Caenorhabditis elegans: one gene and its partners. The protein of the gene in region 3 interacts with the protein of the main gene of each other region in a pairwise test. Each region holds a gene or a part of one and is shown on either strand. Other genes may lie near its edges.

Evidence for each region. The genes of interacting proteins can lie anywhere in the genome.
Region 1: the proteins of magi-1 (region 3) and csc-1 interact in a two-hybrid assay, tested with the Caenorhabditis elegans proteins (2 studies listed by BioGRID).
Region 2: the proteins of magi-1 (region 3) and rpy-1 interact in a two-hybrid assay, tested with the Caenorhabditis elegans proteins (2 studies listed by BioGRID).

Annotation. Positions count from the first base shown.
Region 1 is NC_003280.10:13,595,419-13,600,215, reverse strand, and holds csc-1 (Chromosome segregation and cytokinesis defective protein 1), read right to left. Parts: upstream 3,262-4,797; 5' UTR 3,261-3,261; coding exon 3,194-3,260; intron 3,141-3,193; coding exon 2,852-3,140; intron 2,794-2,851; coding exon 2,698-2,793; intron 2,640-2,697; coding exon 2,342-2,639; 3' UTR 2,269-2,341; downstream 1-2,268. Other genes in the region: fbxc-23 (FTH domain-containing protein), read left to right, coding at 3,673-3,725, 3,767-4,061, 4,523-4,705, 4,755-4,797. UniProt on the Caenorhabditis elegans protein: Component of the chromosomal passenger complex (CPC), a complex that acts as a key regulator of chromosome segregation and cytokinesis during mitosis.
Region 2 is NC_003280.10:6,699,965-6,707,613, reverse strand, and holds rpy-1 (43 kDa receptor-associated protein of the synapse homolog), read left to right. Parts: upstream 1-1,970; 5' UTR 1,971-2,070; intron 2,071-2,116; 5' UTR 2,117-2,120; coding exon 2,121-2,210; intron 2,211-2,341; coding exon 2,342-2,418; intron 2,419-2,467; coding exon 2,468-2,733; intron 2,734-2,778; coding exon 2,779-2,926; intron 2,927-2,968; coding exon 2,969-3,131; intron 3,132-3,183; coding exon 3,184-3,300; intron 3,301-3,446; coding exon 3,447-3,512; intron 3,513-3,742; coding exon 3,743-3,871; intron 3,872-3,920; coding exon 3,921-4,120; intron 4,121-4,168; coding exon 4,169-4,299; intron 4,300-4,554; coding exon 4,555-4,910; intron 4,911-5,013; coding exon 5,014-5,118; 3' UTR 5,119-5,381; downstream 5,382-7,649. Other genes in the region: C18H9.6 (uncharacterized protein), read left to right, coding at 6,201-6,364, 6,414-6,491, 6,578-6,652, 6,706-6,913; C18H9.1 (uncharacterized protein), read right to left, coding at 7,132-7,270, 7,323-7,535, 7,581-7,649.
Region 3 is NC_003282.8:11,711,394-11,719,536, reverse strand, and holds the start of magi-1 (Guanylate kinase), read right to left. Parts: upstream 4,499-8,143; 5' UTR 4,448-4,498; coding exon 4,429-4,447; intron 4,382-4,428; coding exon 4,317-4,381; intron 4,141-4,316; coding exon 4,074-4,140; intron 3,554-4,073; coding exon 3,316-3,553; intron 3,271-3,315; coding exon 3,074-3,270; intron 3,013-3,073; exon of another isoform or gene 2,836-3,012; intron 2,678-2,835; coding exon 2,558-2,677; intron 2,319-2,557; exon of another isoform or gene 2,174-2,318; intron 673-2,173; exon of another isoform or gene 462-672; intron 415-461; exon of another isoform or gene 177-414; coding exon of another isoform or gene 68-176; intron 1-67.

The sequences.
Region 1 (4,797 bases), on a different chromosome or scaffold from region 3:
GGTGACAAGGTATTTTTGGGGACAAAGTATCCAAAGTGATATGGTATCCAGTCGACAAAGTGCCATTTGTCTCTGACCGGATCTTCGGTGACAAACTTTTTCAACTAGTTTTTTATATATATTTCTCGATCGATTTTTGTTTTTTTTTCACTGGAATAAGTTTTTAAATGCAATTTTCCATGGATTTCCGGCCTTGACTACTCACAATTGAATGTATGAACAATGATCTTTTGGGAAAATGCTGTAAAACGTCCAACTAACTTGGAATATCGTAAGATTCTTCCTTATAATCTGATCCTCAAGCTCCGAAGGATCACAGGGGGTACCTCCTGGTGATCTGATCCTTCAGCTTCAAAGGATCATAAGGGTACCTCCTGGTGATCTGATCCTTCAGCTCCGAAGGATCAGAAGGGTACCTCCTGGTGATCTGATCATTCAGCTCCGAAGGATAAGAAGAGTACCTCCTGGTAATCTGATCATTCAGCTCCGAAGGATAAGAAGGGTACCTCCTGGTGATCTGATCCTTCAGCTTCAAAGGATAAGAAGGGTACCTCCTGGTGATCTGATCATTCAGCTCCGAAGGATAAGAAGGGTACCTCCTGGTGATCTGATCATTCAGCTCCGAAGGATAAGAAGAGTACCTCCTGGTAATCTGATCATTCAGCTCCGAAGGATAAGAAGGGTACCTCCTGGTGATCTGATCCTTCAGCTTCAAAGGATAAGAAGGGTACCTCCTGGTGATCTGATCATTCAGCTCCGAAGGATAAGAAGAGTACCTCCTGGTAATCTGATCATTCAGCTCCGAAGGATAAGAAGGGTACCTCCTGGTGATCTGATCCTTCAGCTCCGAAGGATAAGAAGGGTACCTCCTGGTGATCTGATCCTTCAGCTTCAAAGGATAAGAAGGGTACCTCCTGGTGATCTGATCATTCAGCTCCGAAGGATAAGAAGAGTACCTCCTGGTAATCTGATCATTCAGCTCCGAAGGATAAGAAGGGTACCTCCTGGTGATCTGATCCTTCAGCTCCGAAGGATAAGAAGAGTACCTCCTGGTAATCTGATCATTCAGCTCCGAAGGATAAGAAGGGTACCTCCTGGTGATCTGATCCTTCAGCTCCGAAGGATCAGAAGGGTACCTCCTGGTGATCTGATCATTCAGCTCCGAAGGATAAGAAGAGTACCTCCTGGTAATCTGATCATTCAGCTCCGAAGGATAAGAAGGGTACCTCCTGGTGATCTGATCCTTCAGCTTCAAAGGATAAGAAGGGTACCTCCTGGTGATCTGATCATTCAGCTCCGAAGGATAAGAAGAGTACCTCCTGGTAATCTGATCATTCAGCTCCGAAGGATAAGAAGGGTACCTCCTGGTGATCTGATCCTTCAGCTCCGAAGGATCAGAAGGGTACCTCCTGGTGATCTGATCATTCAGCTCCGAAGGATAAGAAGAGTACCTCCTGGTAATCTGATCATTCAGCTCCGAAGGATAAGAAGGGTACCTCCTGGTGATCTGATCCTTCAGCTTCAAAGGATCATAAGCCGCACTTCACGCGGTTTTATTTATCTCAAACAAAAATTTTTTGGTAAAAAACTTTCAACTACAAACTTGTTCTTTACAACAATATCAACAACTTATCAGTTGATGACTTTTCTGTAAAAACTTTATCTACGGAAATATTTAATTCCGGCAATTTGCCGATTTGCCGGAAATAATCATTTACGGCAATTTGCCGATTTGCTGGAAATTTCAATTCCGGCAATTTGCCGATTTGCCGGAAATACTCAATTCCGGCAATTTGCCGAATTACCGGAAATACTCAATTCCGGCAATTTGCCGATGTTCCGGAAACATTTAATACCGGCAATTTGCCGATGTTCCGGAAACATTTAATTCCGGCAAATTACAGATTTGCCGCAAATATTCAATTCCGGCAAATTACAGATTTGCCGCAAATATTCAATTCCGGCAAATTACAGATTTGCCGGAAATCTTCAATTCCGACAGTTTGGCGTCCACCGCTGATGTAAAACACAAAAAGAATTAGCGTAAGTTGAACAAAATCGCGGATTCTTGTCAAAAACTGTTTAAATAACTAGTTCACAGTTGTCCAAGAGTAGTACAAGAAGGCTGGAAGTTTTCTTTCCGATTTTCTCTGAAAAAAAACTAATTTTTTTTCGATTTTTTGCAGTCAAATTTTTTGCAGTCTATTTAGAGAATCAAACGATCGTTGAGATCAAAAAATTTGCATATAAAAGGTAAAAGACGGGAAAAATTGAAATATCAAGTATTTACAGATCATTATAAAAATTAAAGCGGGGGAAAAATTAAATCGGGGGATTTTTCCTATACAGACGTCCCGGCATTTTCAGTTTCCGGCTGGAGAGGCCCGGCTGCTGCCGCTGCCTTCTTGCTCGCCGCACCAGATTTCTTCGACTTCTTCCGATTCTCCTTGCCAGCAGCAGTAGCAGTAGTTCTTCCAGCCAAGACCAGTGGCGATCCGTTCACCGAGAAGGCGATTTCCTCGTCAACGTGTGGAGCACGGAATGGCTTTTCCGGTTGAAGTGTTGGCAGTGGGAGCACTTGTCCAGCTGGCGTTATGATCTCGTTGCGGCGGTGCTCGTCGGCCGCCGTGTTCCTGCCGCTGAAAAAAAATTAATTTATTTATTGAGAAATCGATTTTTTTTTTGTTGAAAACTTACGAGTTCTGGCCAGATGGAGCAATCGGAATGCTCGTCTCATGCGCCGCATCGTCGTCGATTTCAGGCTCCTGCTTGACCTGCACCGTGTTCCGGCCGCTGGAAAATTTATTGATAAAAGTAAATGGCGGAAATTTGGATTTTTTTGAAAACTTACGAGTTCTGGCCAATCGGAATGCTCGTCTTTTGCGCCGCCGCCGCGTCGTCGATTTCCATGTCAGGCTCGGAAGGAAGCTCCTGCTTAACCGCCACCGCCGCTTCTCCTTCCTCCTCCTCCTCGCCGGATTCAATGTAGAAATCATCCGGTGGCGATGCCAGAAACTCCATGATCGGCATATCCCTGTATTTTGGCTTGATTGTGGCGATGATCCGGTCGGATTCAGCCTTTGCTGTCTGAAGGGCGACCTCCCGCAGCTTCTTCTTATACTCCTCGAGTAAGTCCTTGACTGGAAAATAAATTATTTAAATATAATAAATTACTGGAGATCTTCAAGCTTACCACGCGTCTCGAGAGTATCCGCCATCGCAACCACAGCCGGGTCCTTCTTGATCTTGCGTGGTGGCATTCTGAAGAAAATAATGAGAAATAATCGGAGAAAATCGAATTTTTGAGGGAAATTAACGTGAAAATTAACTTTTTTAAGGTAAAAATCACAAAAGAAATCGAAAAATGCGTGGAAAATGAGAAAAATGGCGGAAAAAATTATAAAATTAATCGAAAAATTTTCGCGCTCGCATTCGGTGTTTGCGGACTGCGTACCGTACCCCACGCGCAAAAGAAGGAAACAGGTCTGGAATAAAGATTTATAAAGACAAACTTATGAAAACATGATTTGAAATATATTTTTTACCGTTTTTCCATTTGCATACACTTGATACCAACTAGAACAATTAATTTTCACTGAAGAAAATTTCGTAGCAAGAAATTTCGCAATTTTGCCTTTTTTGCTGCAATTATTGATAATATTTCAGCTTAAAATGTATTCTGAAAGCGTCCCATGCATATTCAAATATTTATCATTTGACAAGAAGTGGGTTTTATTTTAGAATCCATTTGAAAACACGATTACAGAAGCCATCTTGCAAATTTCAACTCGATATTTCGCAAGCTTGAAAAAAAGCTTCCCTATCACTTTAATTGTATAAAAATCGATACAACAAGGGAGGACTGGCACTTTTCGATTGATAAAAAATATAATTTCAATATTCAAACTGCTCAGCTTGGCGCCAACGTTTTATTCGGTGGAGTTCAACAATTCGGAATTTTAATTGCAAGTCCTGAAGATTCACAGACTGAAACCTTTCGGAAATTGGTGGATTTCTATTTAAATCGACCAGGAACAAGTATTCATACACTGCAAATTCTGGTAATTCTTACGCGATTATGTGTGCGCCTTTAAAGAGTACTGTAATTACAAATTTTTGTGTTATCTAGTTTTTTCTATAATTTGTTGGAAATTTGGGGTTTTTAATTATTTTCTTCTAGTTTTCACAGATTTCTGGCTTCCCTCATAAATTGAAATGGAAGAGTTTAGGCCGAACTAGTCCATTTTGGCTCGGCCATATCTGGGGTAGATTTAAGGTGCGTTGCGTGTCGCGTCGCGGCTCGGTTTTAGTTGTAAAACGAAATGTACGTGTCCGTGTGGAGTACACGACTTTCCCACGCGTTGTCCAGCGGGAGATTATCAATGGAGCGCGAAAAATTCAATGAGCAAGGCCAGGATCCCGCGTGAGCAACGAAAGTTTTCAATTACAGTGCTCTTTAAAGGCGCACACCTTTTATCAATTAACGAAATTTTGTCGTGACGAGACCGTCGTGCGTTTGCAGAATCATCCATATGGTCTCGAGGCGTGCTGCCAATTGAATATTCGACACATTTTTGTAAGAATGCGGATTGAATCCCTGAGATATGACTACACGACCTGGTTTGATTGCCTCCGAGCTCGCCCGTTCGAGACGGCGGAGGTGGATTTTGTTGGAATGGATTACTTGATTCTGGCGGAGCCTGTGGTAGAGTCTGAAATTTGAAAATTCACAGAAATTTGTTGTTTCCTTCCAGATATATTCAGCCAAGAAGCTGTGTATAAAATCATCACGTGCAA
Region 2 (7,649 bases), on a different chromosome or scaffold from region 3:
TTATTGTTCTTCTTTTTTCTCTTCTTTCGCTTCTGTGAATGTGTGGTGAGGGCCGTAAAGATTTTTCTTTAGTTTTGCAGTTTTCAGTGTGTATAATTTTGTAGTTATGGACAAGATGAATGACTTGATGCATTACCAAAAGTTTTGCAATTAGGAAAAAAAGCTATTTCAAAATTGTGTTTTTTTTTAGAAAATTATTAATAACTCTCAATTTCAAATAGTTTTTTTTCTATTTCACGACATTCAATTTATAATTGAAGTTCAAATGTAGAGTTATTTTTTTGTAAATTAATCATGTTAGTGAAACATATTTTTTTCCAACTTACAATAAACCATGGCTCACTGTTCTTGTTGATCGAAATTTTTTTTTTCATTTTTAAAATTACGTCGATATGAAAATGTAGTGCTGAAAACATCAAGACTTATTTTGAAAATATATTTGGATTTCTAAAAATATTGTTTATTTAAAATACTTCAAGTGGGGCATCCAGAGGTGGAACTTTATTCCCTTAACATTTTATTGTCGAAACTGAAATTTTCCTGATTTATTTTTTCTAAATAATCCTTTTTCATCTTCATCCTTAAAAATATTTCTAATCTAATCGGTTCTTCTCATCGTTTTCTTCCACACAATTCAATGTGTCCCAACTCTTTACCCATCTCTTCACAAAAATGTCAATTTCTGTTCAATTTCCCATGGGAGTTCGATTTTCCGTTTCCCATCCTTTTCCAAACTCGGAGAGCTTGGGGCAACTCAAGAAAAAAAACATTTGGAATACGGATTCCTTAAGATGTGCATCAAAGTACTAGACCTCCTCTTCTTCTAGATCTACTTTCTTTTTCCCCGTATTCACTTCTTTTGTCCCAAATTTCTTTTCATTCCAAATTGGATTCAGTTCCCCTGAGAAGCTCGCCTGAGCCGGCGGGTCACATTAGAGAGTACTACTCTTCTTTTTTCCCGAAAATTTCAATTTGACAGAGTGATTTCAAATAGGGACTAGTACCGAAAAAACATTTTGGGCGGAGTTGTAAACGGTGAAAAAAGTTTAAAAGTTTGAATTTATCTTGAGTTCGGACTTCCTTTCGTTCTAAAAGTATATTGCACAAACACAGGTTTTTTTCGAACTCCAAAACTTGACTTCTAGTTGAAGTATATGTTTAGTTAGTTTTCTAATAAATATAGTTCATTCTAGGACTATTCCCATATTTCCTACCTGCCATTTTTCTTGCCTACAGCAATTTTTCAGTGTCGCTGGGAACTCTTGTATATGATATACATTTCTCCCATTTTAACTTTTTGTTGAAAGTTTCTTCTATGTCATGCCAGTAAACATGCGTGTAGGCAGATAGTTTATTTTGTGCAGTTTGCACTTTTGCGCTTGCTCTGATGTTTTTCTCTCAAATTGATTTTTATTCTATCCAATTGGCATTTTCATTTCTTATCTGTTTCCCATTATCTTCCACAAATTTCCCTCTCTTTTTTCGCCTCATTTTCCGTTTCCAATCCCATCATTTTTCGTTCATTTGCTCCCCACCAATTTTTCCTCAATCGTCTCATGACCTCAAATTGATGGATCACTTTCTCACCTATATCTCTAAATCTCCATGTCTATTCATACTATCTCATCTTCATCTCGAATATCAATCAAAAGTCATCCAAGAATTCTCGTCTCATGAAAATGTCAACACAAACAAAATGTGCTTGAGCTAATTGTTTTTTGTGGGGTGGAACTTTTTGTGCAAGAGCCTGAAATAGCTAAAGCATATAAAATCTACAGTAATCCCTTCATAATTGATCCTCTGGTACTCCATCATTATTGCATGCAGACTCAGAAATGGATTCTAAAACAATTATTCATCAATTGTCCTCTTCTTTTCTTTCTTTTATTTTTCACCATGCACATTTTTCTCTTTCTGCATCGAAAGATTTATAAAATAAAAACTTCAATAAAAATTTTCCTAATTTTCAGATGAGATAGGATTGATAATTTTTATTCGTATTTCACACACACGTAGAAAAAAGAAGAGCCATCACTAAAAACTACATGATTACTTGCCGCCGGTCTGTAGGTAAGATATATTGAGCATGAAGTTTGAATTATTGAATATTATTCAGGTCAATGGGTGTTTTTGTGTGTCGCGACAACATCAATCTCATCACGAATCATCGACGATCAATGGGACAGCGGCAAGCAAAGCAACACATGCAGGTTGGTAATAGTTTTGATATGGGGAATTTTTTTTTCGGAAACTAAAATTTATGCGAACTTCTGTGATGTTTTTTAAAATGTTTTATCATTCCTGTTTGGCATTCCCCAATTTTAAACATTTATTTCTGCAGGCTGGCGTCAAACTTTATCATCAACGACATTACGCACAGGCTATCAATAAATGGAGACAGTCTCTGAACAGGTTAAAGTAAGTCTTTCAGACGACTCCTCTTCTTTTCTATAACGTCCATTTTCAGCAATGCAGAAGACCGGTTTATCACTCTCGGATACCTTGCTCAAGCTCTTTGCGACCAGGGAGAATACGAAGGAATGCTTTCATATGCTCTATCACAAATGCAGTTGGCAACCGATCAAAACGATTCAGCAATGAAATGCGAGGCATTTTTGAATCTAGCAAAAGCCTATGAACGATTAGCAGATTTCACGAAAGCCCTCCAGTATGGCAAAGCATCGTTAGAACATCCTTCGATGGATCCCAGGACGCCTGGTTATGCACATTTAAGTAAGAATTTTCAATAGGTTCTAGACAAAACTGTGGCTATTTCAGCAATAGCACTTGCACACTTAGGAATGTCCCAGTTCCAACAGTGTCTGGAAAGTTTCGAGTCAGCAATGAATGTTGCCAATGAGACATCGGATAGGTTACTCGAATTGCAAATTTGTGTTGGTCTAGGATCTCTTTTTACTCTTTTGAGGTAACCGTACAGAAATGAAAAATAACACATTTTTATTTTCAGAGATATCACTAAAGCTCTGATATTTCTTCGAAATGCTCTCGCAATTGTTCAATCTGTTACTGTTGATGATGTTCATGCAAAGTATCGTTGTTTGATACTTTATCATTTATCAGTTGCTCTAAGGATGAAAGGAAGTCTGGTTGATGCCAAGGAAGCATGCGATGTAAGTTTTTATTTAAAGTTTAAGAACTTCAAAAAGTATTGAATGATTCCAGGAAGCTTCCCAGCTAGCTGTTGAGATGGGTAATCGAGCGATCCATGCAAGATGTATGTGCAGTTTAGCAGATATTTATAGAGAATTGGGAGAGAGTGAAGCCAAAGAGACTATCACTGTGAGTAATTTTAAATTCTCAGTTATTTCAGTAAAAAAACGTTATGCTTGAAAAGTTAATAATAACAACTAACTTTCATTAAAACTTGTATTAGAAATCAATGAGTTTTTTTTTTCTATTGTTAGATAATAAACTCTTTCTTACAGAAATCCTGGGCAAGATACGAAGATGCTTATCGTGTAATGCGCGGAGCAAATGATAAAATGGGCGAAGTAAGTGGCCAAAAAACCTTCAATTATTTATTGGTACAACCAAATACCTCATAAAACCAAAAGCTCACATCCAGGTCTCAATTTCTTTTCCCATTAAATAACTTTTACGACTTTCCCATAAATCTTGAAGCTTTGTGGTTGACACAATCTCACATAGAGATCAGACAACATGAGTATATTTCTGGGGAATTGTGAGAAAATAATTTTAATAAGTTCTGAGTGTTTTTCAGGTATTAGTGCTCTCGTCAATGGCAAAAAGTGCATCTGAAAGTCGATCTCATTACACTGGACAATGTGAATGTCAAGCTATTCAATTGAATAAAAAGTGTATTGAAATTGCAAATCAGATAGGGTGCAAGGTACAAAATCGATAGGATGATTCCACAAAACTTCAAAATTTTGTTTCAGCACGTTGTCTTAAAGTGCCATCTCCGACTAGCCGAACTATATTCTCAACTGAATGATGACGATTCTGAGGAAACTGCTCGAAGAGCTGCGTCTCGGTTAACACAAGAAATGCAATTGTTTTGTAACTTCTGCGGTCAAAGATATGGATTGAAGGATGAGAGTCTTCAAGCTCTTAGGTGTTCGCATATTTTCCATGAAAAGTATGAATGAGTTTCAGAGATTCTAAAAATAAAGTTGTAATGTTTCAGATGCTTACACACGTATCTCCTACAAAGAACAGATCAAACCTGCCCGAAATGTAGATGCAGAGCTGTTTTATCGGACAATATCTCGATACGAAGTTCTATTGCTTCAACAATTGATGTTCAGAGTCCTAGCAGTAAGATTTTTATTATAAACATTTATACTTGAAAATTTATTCGAAAAAATATTAAACTATGAAGCCGAAATTTGAAGTCAACTTTTGTAGAGTATTCAGCAAAAAACATGGTAAAGAAGTTGTCCAAGTTTTAGTTCAAAGCGAACTTTTTCTTCTGAAAACTATTCTAATAGTATTTTTAAAGGTTTATTTTTTATCATTATTGAAAAAATATTTTTTGAATGTCAGCGCGTAATCAATAAACTTTAATTTCAGCGTCTTTCGCCCCACCGGGAGGTGTTGCCACTCCACTTGTCTCAGCAGCTGCCGAACTTGGAGATATCACACCACAAGCCACATTAACACGACGTTCACAACAGGACAAGATTCTTCGTGGCGCCGAGAAAGATATTGATCGAGTTGATCGAAGTCTTGCTAGGCTAAAATCACAACAATCTGCAGCGGCGAATGCATGTTCAGCAGTTGCAGTTCCGTCACCTGAAGTACCTTCAACAACGGCTTCTTGTGCTTCCGAACCGATTCTTACTGCATCGACGACATCGCAGTCACACACGCATTCGAATGCAAATCATAAACCACCACCACCTCCACGGAAACCTTGTTGCTCACAGGTAATATTATTGAAGGAGTTTAAATGATCTTTCTGAACTTTAAATTTTTTCATATGACCTTAAATTGTATTTTGAGAAATCACCTAAATTTGAATGTTTTCAGGCAGCCCTACCTCCATCATCAATAGTAGCTCTTCCTCCAGCAATGCCACTAGCAGAAGATGGTCCTCTTGTGATAACTCACACGCCTACAGTAACAGATGTTTGAAGCCTCAATACAAACTGCAATCATCCCCTCGAAATCCCTTGTTTTGTGATATCATTTATCGTTTTTTTTTAAATAGGAATCTTCAAAATTTTGAATTTCTAGTCTTCTACATTGTCACCCACCAGTTTCTTTCCTGCTCATGTTCACTTTTCAATCTTTTTTTTCAATTAATCTTTTAGAAGTTATTCTTATTTTTATTTTTGATCTCAATTCATATGTTTCAAAGTTTTAATTCTTTCCATAAAAATTTGTTTCAATTTTTGAATATGATGAAATCTTGTGCATGATAACACCCACAAGCTGAAACTTTGTGTGATAGTTGTCCATCTCATTGAGAAAAATTCTGAAAATAGATGAACCCACATGATTTTATTCTCTAAAACTTCAACATTTAACAGAAAAAAATTCAAAATCGGGGGAATTTTTAAACGGTGAAAGCAATTTTGAATTGAAAACTGTGTACGGGCTTAGGAGAACTTAAACATAGATAACCGCTGTATTTTTTAACTCCATCTTCCAATATTTGAATTCAAAACTTAACTAGCATAAAAATTTTAAAGATGACCTCTGTAAACTGTAATAATTAAAAGTTGGGCAGCAATCTTTGTATGATCTAAATCAAAATGTTATCTATATTTCAAAGAACTGTAAAGTGATAAGTTTCCAAAAAATCTTATAGTTTTTTAAGTGATTATGATTATTGTAGTCATCATAATTTCTTTAAACACTACAGACGCCTTTCAGAATAATGTCATCATTTTACCTCTTAAAATTTTAAACTTTGTCCGACAGTCTCTCAACTTCCGTCTCTAATCAAAAAAATCATTTCCTGACTTGAAAACTATAAAACCCAACGCATGAATGCACTGAGACCATTCAACTGATAACCATTATTTCCTGGCTACACAAACCTATTACTTCATACATATTCCAAAACCACCCAAGCCAGCTTGCCAAAATAGCGCGAAATTTTGAATTTTCAGATTTCCACTATATTTCCAGATATTTAATCAATCAATTTTTAAGTGAACTTCCCACCATGCACCAAAAAATTCAATGGAAAAATCGCGTTGGCTTACGAAATGACAAAGCTTCCACAAACACAGGGAGTTCTTAATTTCATTCAGAAATATCTTTACAATTCTACAAACTACAATTTTGAAGATGGGAGCACTCAAGCTATTAATGTACCATATCCAGATTCAGGTGTCTATGAAAATTACATACTTCATTATCCAGATGCTACGTGAGTTCTTATCTTGAATTTTGGTCCTAATTATTTTTTTTAATTTCAGGAGCACTGAACTTTTGGACATAAATATTGATCAATTATACAGTGAAGTTATGGTTCTGACTGACCCAAAGATTGAGAGGTACTCAATTTATTTTTATGTTTAACAGCCGGTTTTTGCAATTTAGAAGCTTGAAATGTAGACTTCTTCATTATCAAAATTTTCAGAGCATATGAATATATTCTTGAGGAACGCGATCCAGGAACTTCATCCACTAATATCCTGGTCACCGTCGGCGTTGAGTGAGTTACAATTATAACAACTATTTACATATTCCAAAGTTTTACCTTTTTAGTGATATAGCTGCATTTGATGGAAGTGCATCCAGTTATATGCATCAACTTCAACAAAAATACAATTTCCGTTCGATCGTGGTCTCGATTGGACCAAATCCAAATTACCTGGAAGTTTTGGCTGAGAGCCCAGATTGGTATTTCACTGCAACTGATTCTAACGGAAAATGGGTTGCTGAACAGATTTCAAGAATTATTTGTCATTTGTAAGCATAATTCTGAAATAACTAAAATAAATAATGTTTTATTCCAATTTTGGTTTAAATATTCATATGTGTTTGCGAGGTACAAAATACTTTTTATGAATTTAACGTTTATTTAAATTGAAACATAAACGTCGTTGAAAAGGCGGAATCGGAGACACCCTCGTTGAGTTACACGTATTAGGAAAATGTGAAAAATATACAGCTATCAAAAAATTAATAAAATTAGAATGATGTGGCACACGGTCCCGCATAATAGTCACATTCATGTTCTGGATATCTTCGGAAATTTTGTGGAGTTCTGTGATTGGATCTTCCAGTGTTCAAACCTCGTTCAATGTATTCGGCAAGATCATACGGTGTTCTGAAATATAAATTTAGGCAACATTGGCAGAATTTTAAATGAAAAAGGTTACGGTCTAGCAATGGGGAACATTGGAATTCCCATATTATCCGGATGATTTCCTCCTTGATTTCTTCCTCCATTTTTATTCCTGTTCATTTTTTGACCATTTCCAATGTTTCCACCAATGTTCCCAATATTTCCAATATGATAGTTACTCCTATTATTTTTAACCCGACTATTTGTCTTTCTTTGCTCTTCTGGATAACTGATCAGAGTTGGATGTCTGCAATATAATCAATAAATTTTAATTCTTATCTGAAAAACTAACATGGCACCCATTCCATTTCTATTTCCACCGGTACTTCCAACTTTTCCTATTGCTTTCGGTTTTTTCGGG
Region 3 (8,143 bases):
TTTTCCAATATCTTACAAATCGGAAATGGCATTAATTTCATTCTATTTCTCCTCGATTAACGGTTACCTTTCATCATCATCGTTTTTTCTTTTTGCATCGAATTCGATGAGGGCACGTCCTCGGATTGTGTTCGTCGCAATTTGGCGGCTAACAATAAGCGACGGACACGCTGCATTTTGCTAGTGATGATTCCGAAACAATTCCGATTTGACAACAGTAGTTATAATAACAATAGTATAATTATAGTGTCGTTTGAAAATAGTAGCCGATTTGTTTAGTTTGTTTAATTTCCAATTCACACGTGATGGAACATAATGGAGCAAAAACCAGAAATTGTGTAGGCGGAGATGTTTTGGAAGGGAACTTTCTTTTTGCTTCAAAAACTAATTTTTGTTTTGAAACATTTCCCATTCCGGAAAAAAGACACCAGCAAGAATAGGCGGTTCCATTTTCTTTTTTGCATGGAAAAAACACAATGGTTATCCCAGAGACACAGACATTGGTCTTTCCCATAACTTCATTTCCAACAGGAAAAAACCCCACGAACCTTTCGGTCAAAAATGAGAAGTCTCCACCTACTCCTCCCCCTACTTCTTTTCACTTTTTGTCAAATGACTAGCTCGCACCTCTCACTTTTTTGGTGTTTTCTGCCAAAAAGTAAAAGTTGGTCATTGAAAATGACAAGAGACAATGTGAGTTGAAGAGACGCAGTGATGGGTGAAATCTTATCAAAACTTTCTGATTGCGGGACGCCCGTCGTTAGCCGTTTTTTTTGGTAGTGTTATTGTTGGCAACTGTTTTGAGATGAGAGAGTGAAAGAGATTGGTGATTTGAAAACTTGAAAACAGGTCTCGCATAGAAAGTTATGATAGTCATAAGTTTTCAAGACATGATTCGGAAAGTTTTATGCTTATCAGAGGTGTGTGATGAGAAATCTTGTATCGAAGAGATATGGTTCGAATTCTGAGAGCTAGTAACAATGGTTTTGGCTGAAGCCATAAGAATTGAACATAACTGTGAAACTCTGTCAATTAGACAACAAACCAAAATAAAACCAGCCAACCAATTTCAGTAAAGAACATTTTCAGTAATTTTCGAAAATAAAAAATGGTCTGGTGCCTGTATCACCAAATTTTTCGATAAACAATATATTTTAAAACTATGGCAACAAGTTTATTTTTTGGTATCAGTCGTAGCTGTAGAAGACTTTGAAAATTAATCAATTTCCTTATCAGTCACCTCCGTTGCTCTATTTTGAAATTTTGTAGCTCAGCTAGTCTTAATCTTAAGTTGATCAAATGTTTTTAAATTCAGAGAAGAAGAAGAAAGATTCGACCTAAATTTTACAAGTTGAACACTTTTGCATAAAACAAAACAAAATAAAAAACTATGGACCCCGTCTTTCTGAAAATTTGGGAAATACAGTCTGTTACGAAAATCATAGTAAACTCTCATTTACAACTAAAAGAATTTAGACCTGAATGTCAAAACGCCAGTTTTGCATCTCTATTTCAATAACAATCCTCATCATCATTATGCCCTTTCAACTTCCATTTTCGGACTTACTGTCAAAACTAGTACTGGTTCAGGGTACTTGACCGAAAAATGGCATTGTTTTGACAAGGACGCAAATAGGCAGGCAACGACACCAGTAAAGAAAAAAAACGAAAAAAAAACTTCAGGATTCAACTTTTGCTGCTAACTCCTTGTCTTCTCCGAGAATTTAGTTCAAACAGGGATTAAGCAGAGAAAGTGTAGGGCGAGAATAAGAAGGATGCGAAAAAGTAAGAAGAAGAATAGAAACGAAACAGAAAAGAATGGAAGAAGCCACTATGAGATTGAATTAACGAAATTGAATCGAATCTGTGGGGGCATCACCAAGTCTTCTCTTTCCGAAATGGAATGAAGAGGAGCCAAAAACAATAGTCAAGTTTACTGCTACTTGTCACATGGATATTGGTGGGCTCCGATGACAAGTGAGCATGATATATGCATTTTCTCAAGGCGGACATATGGATGAAAAATGATCTGGGAAGGCAGATCCGTTGAGAAAGAATTTTCAAATTTTAGGGTGCACTTTTTACACATGCAAAGAATGTAATCCACTCCAATTTTGGTGAGAGAGGTGAATGAACCATTGTGTCAGGTAAGAGAGAAAGAGAGAGGGACAACGGAAGGAGAAAGATGCAAAATGAGCGGAATGGGACTGTGTTTTGTCACGAAATAGTGTTATGAAGCAGGAGACGTAGAGGGTACAGTCCTCCATTTGAGGACATACCAAGATTGCGTAAGAGGGTAGACGAGGACTGTGAGGTAGAAAACAGGTAAGTGAGTGTGATGAGAAGGTAATAGGGGATATAAGAGATCGCAGACAAAGACAGATGGAGCTATTGAAGCGGTGGAAATAAGAAATAAGAAATTCTTAAGACAGGTGCCGAAAAAGGCTACCAGGTGGCTGGATTTTACGGAGATTCGCGAGCAAGTAAAACCGTGAAGCAGCGGTTTTCTTTTATGATAATAAGCGTAAAATAGTTGAACATGGAGAAAAGAGGTTACCTTGATATGTACCATTTTCGAGCAAGTCACCACTGTCGAGAAGCTTATTAAAATCATCTACAGACACAAATCGATAGTGTTCTCCATCAACTTCACCTTCTCGTGGAGGTCGAGTTGTGTCTGAAAATGGTCACTTTGAAATTGAAATTTGTTTTAACTTCAATACTTGTCCCTCCATAATAATCTTTTAGATCAATAACAGGAAGAGATGTTCGTTTGGAAAGAAATGCAGGTTTTAGTGAATGTTTTGGTAAAGGCGAACCGAACATTTTAACACTTCCACTGGTGGCCAGCTTCGGACCCTCCCCCACCTTGTGATGATCCCCTAGATCCTAAATCACCTAATTTAATGGGGCGGATGTCTAGGTTTCTCTAGATCACACACTATTTCATCTCAATGATACTCCCTGTGGGCAGCTGCTAGTGCCATTGAAAACAATGAGGTTTTGAGGAATGAAACTTATAAGTATTAAATCCAATCTAGTTAGTTTCAGATCAACTTTTTTTGTAACTCACAAGGAACTGTCTTCTGATATAAATTTTCTCGAATGATAGTCTGAAGTTCACCAGATGATTTTCTATCGGCCAGTAGTTCACAAATATCATCGGTAATTGCTCCAGCTGGTAGAATTTCAATCGCAATTTGATCATGTTCTCTCATCATATCTTCCAATATCCTATTCACTTCAGATCTTACCATTCCTGATACTTTTCTGAAAATTTAAATAATAAAAAAAGAAATGTTCTAGAAAACCTACATGTTCTCAATTGTTAAAAGAATATCGTTAGGATGAACAATTCCAATTAAATCATCACGTCGCACAATATCAATCAGAATGAGTCGTCCAATTGAGGCTCCGCCATGTACTGTAAACGGGGTGATGACGTCTCGAGATGAAGAGTTTCCAGAGTCCGAATGGCAAGAAGATGTCGTGGAAATATGATGATGTTCACTGGCAATACGGATCAGTCGACGAGCAGCAAGTCCGGATGGCACTAGAATATTAAAAATTATTTTCAGTCTTTTTTTGGCTATTTCCTGATTTTTGGTTTTTTTTTCAAAAATGATCTTTCTTGACTTACAATGATTTTTTTTGCTTTAGTTGTTAAATTTTTATTCGGAACCCAAACAAAAAAAAATTTTAAGACAGTCTTGATGAATATTAAAAAATTAGGTATTAACGTGTGCTCCTACTGTGTTTCTTTTGACAGTGAAAGTATTCAACTAGTAAAATTTAGGTTACATTTTTATCTTTAGAAATAATCGAAATATGAAATCTCAGAGTATAGAAATGTAGGTGTAATACTAATAGGGAGCATATTGTATTATATCTATCTATGTTTGAAAAAAAAACTCACTAAAGAATTAAAAACTTTTCAACCACACAATAACTAAAAGCTCTGTTTTATATTTCACTGTAAACTGAACTTTGAAATGCATGGAATATTCAAACTTTAAACTTCTTCGTTAAACTCAATATCTTTCTTGAAGGTCATAAATGATTGAATAACTCACGTTTGTCAGTGGAATCTAGTGAAGTGCTTGGGCTGCTCGTGCAATCGAGCATTTCTTGAAGAGTGGCCTGAAAACTTGGGATAGTGAGGGGAGGAATTCAGAAGGACGACGAACAAGTGGTTGGGAAGAGCCTTCCACTACTTCACTAATCCTTTTTTCTTGCGAATAAACAATGGGAAGTGGTTTTGAAATGAGTTTTATTTTGGGGTGGAGCCGTTAGACATGAAACAAATCAAAACAAACCTGAAGCTTTTCAATTTCCAATGTGAAATCATCCTTTTCTTCATCTCCAATTTTCAGGCAAAGTTCTGAAATTAATAATCTTGATGTTTATGGACTAAACTCTCAATCTCACCAGCTGTTTTGTCGGTCATCTTTTTAGTCGTGGGTTCATTAAGAGAATGTCGAGTTGGAATGTCTTCTCTGCAACGAAAATGAATTACTATCTTCAAAGTTCGGAATGGCCCATGAGAAAGGGGACCGCATAAATTTTGCGAAAACAAATAAATATTTATTACGAAACAACCGTTTGTGTGTCGGCGACCTCAAGAGAACCCGAAGGAGAGCAAGGGACAAGCAAAAGATGAGAAAGAGTGCAGTGTGAATATGAATAAGGCGCTGTCGAAATGACAAATTAATAATGAGTCAGAGATTGGAAATTGGAAGAAGAATAAATAAGAAGAAGTGCGCGCAGATTTTTCAGAAAGTTTAGCACTGTCAGGTGACAACAAGATATTTGCGCAAAATGTATTGAAAAGTATAGCGCAAAACGAGCAAGAAAAACCGAAAAATGAAGTCTTCGACTAAAAAAATTTCGCGCGCCCTATTTTGAACTCAATTTGAACAGAAACAAAACAAATCGTGTAATGTTTTGGAAGTTCGAAGATATTATTGATAAAAGAAAAAAATGAAAAAAGCGAAAAAAAATTGAATTGTTCCATGTAGTGTCTTAAAGAGGTATGTGGAAGACTAGCAGGGATGCAATACTGTTTATCGATCGACTAAACCGAGGGGCAACTCTAACACGCGTGCAGTGTACCCACCACCATTTGGCCTACATGAATTGCGGGAAATGTAGTGTGTTGTATATATTTTAGTGCGGTCACACCTGTTGTTTTCTACGGGTATCACTCAATAAATTTTGTTACTAAAAGAGACATGAAAAATATTTAAACTCTATTTTTTAGTAAAAACTGGTGTTTCTAATAAAAATTCAACTAAATAATATAAGTAAGTTTTCAATACATATTTATAATGAATTAGATAAAATTGAAATATACATGTTAACTTAATAATTTTAGAGTCATGATTACTGTAGCACTTTAAAACTTTCTAGTAATAAATTAGAAAATTTAGACAATATTTTGAAAAGAATAACATTACTTTAGCGAAAATACTTGCCACTTTCGAAAATTTGAAATTCGTCAAAAATCCCACTTTCGTTCGAAAAGCCGTGAGTCATTGCACCTGGGAAACTCGATTCCCTTCTTTCTTAATGTTGGAAAATTTTTGAATTTAAAAATAAAATACAACTATTAGGAGCTATAGTTTCAGGACAGTCGGAAAATTTTCAATTTGGTCCAGAAGGTTCGAGTTGACCGTCGGCAAGCCTAGAGCATTTTCTTGCGAGGCGCAAAAAAGCTGAATGTGATATTTGGAGAACAAACATACACTTTGCCGTTACGGCACGCACTTTTGCTTCTCGCCGATAATATGGTGAACGGTTTTCTCATAAAGCGTTAAATCCTCTGCGGATAGAAAAAGAAAGGGAGACAGGTCAATTTTGTAACATACTAATGGTAAACGCACCGAGACGACAGCGCTGGTCAGGCTCATATAATTCGTCAAGTTCTTCTTCTTCTTCTCCGATTTCTACACAAACTTCCGAAAGTTTTCAACATCTGCCACGCATCTGGCATGTTGTGCTGCAGCAGTCACCACAGAATCACAGTGATGACAGCGACTTTAGAAACAAAAATGAAGGACAAGAAGTAGAAGAAGGGGACGGCTGTTTGCAATTTGTACTCGAGGGAATCAGCTGGAGATTCGTAGTTACGAGAACACAACGAAAAAGACACACATTAATCCTGAGAAATGCAAAAATTTGATTGATGCTGAGAAGAGACAAAGGCGAAACAGGGAAAATCATGCTTCCAAAATATAGTTGAAGTTCTCTACAGAGAACTCCTATAGGAACCTTTATGTAGGTAGATCACATTATTTACTGAATTCTCAATATTCATGAAAACACACAAATGCCTACCTTTGTGCCTACATGATTTGCCGCGCGCTTTTGCAGATACTTTGGTCCAATGTAAAAACGTTGATCCCTTGGATGCTCTTAACTCCCTAGTTTCCTCACATTTTTAAATACCATTATTACTTTGACGACTTAGATCTCGGTTCATTGTGCAGATATCAAAAAAATATTCAACAACTAAGATTGTAGTGAAAGAAATAAATTGCATTAATTTTAATATTTTTGATAGAACAAAAGCCAACCGAAATATGAGCAGCCAAAGTTGAACAATTGTGGTGTAAATCTACTGGTAAGAATACGGTATTCGTTTTGATCCAATTTTTGAAAAGTTCCAGCAACTACAAAATGTAATTAGCTAAAATTTTAACATTGTGAATTTTGAAAATCTGACAGATTTTTTTTATTTTAGTCTTATTTTCCCTATTAGTCTTGTACACTATTATTTTCAAGGTATGAAATTTTTAAAAGTTCTTAAATAGAAAAAATCAACATATATATGTATATATTTTACCAATTGGCCACTTTTTGATAAAACAAAAATTGCCGAGAAATATCAATGTTGAGAAAAGGGGGTATAAAACTATTAGATAAAATACGGTAGTTGAAAATATTCAATGTAATAAAAATACCAACCTACTTGCCACATTTTCTACTATGCAAAACACACAGTGGCAATGCTTACAAACATTATTCTTCAGACCACAAAAAATGACTGATGGTGTGATAAGAGCTTGCCGCGCGGCAGAAAAAAATGGTCAAAATGAGTGTGATCGACCGGATTTGTTGGTCAACAGACGTCCATGTTCTGAGAGCACACAGAAATCATAGAGACCGAGGGGCGATGACAATCGTTTTTCGGCGCTTTTGGGTGAGAAGTGAACATTTTTCTTAGCGTCGTTCGTTCGTTTTCTCGGTCTCTCACACAATCGCCGCACATTCACACAACACAGACACTTACACATACAGAAAACGGTTCGGAAAGACTGAATAGATTGGGGCCAATTTCTGGAATGAAAAAGGATTGACCCTGAACTAAAGTCGAATTAGCTATGCATTCTCGTATGTGTCTAAGGGTGACAGATTGACTAAGAGAACAAAATTGATTAAAGTGCACTTTTTGGAATTGAAGGATGAAGAAGAAGCAAGAGTGAACTGTTCGAAATTCTTCAAAGGCGGAGTACCGAAATCTTAGACTTTATTTTTTAGGCCCAAAATGACTCAAAACTACCGAATTTCGTAATGAGACGTTTTGAAAAATTCTTTTTAAAAAAGTTATGGTGGTTCAAAGTTCGGGAAAAGGGCACATTTTCTTTTGCGTCTAAAAAAGCAAAGTTTCCGATTTCGGTAATCCACCTTTAAAGTGTCTGAAAATTAATTGATCGATTTTGAAAAGGGTAGCCTACTTCAATTTAAAAAGGTGCATTTTAAAATATTCAAACAATTGCCAAGAACGCTAATATTTTTTTGAAATAAAAAACACTAAAAAAGGGGAAGGACGAGAGAGCGGTGAGCTGTCAAGGGAAATTGGGGATAAATGATTGAATGGGGTCTTTCCCTCTCTCGTCATCCGAGTTCCTGTTCCTTTTCTCTCATTTTTTGCCTAAAATAGAAGAGTATTCATTCATTCAATTCTCTTCTACCGTAAAGAAAAAGTTGCGAATAGAACAATTAAATAAAAGAAAATGGATGAGATTGAAATGTAGAAGATTTTTCGATCGCAAATAAAAAGGAACGGACGTTTACCCGAAATGAACATCAAATTTGCATTTGAGACAGGTTCTTTTATTCATTAAAAAAAAGAGAAGAATTG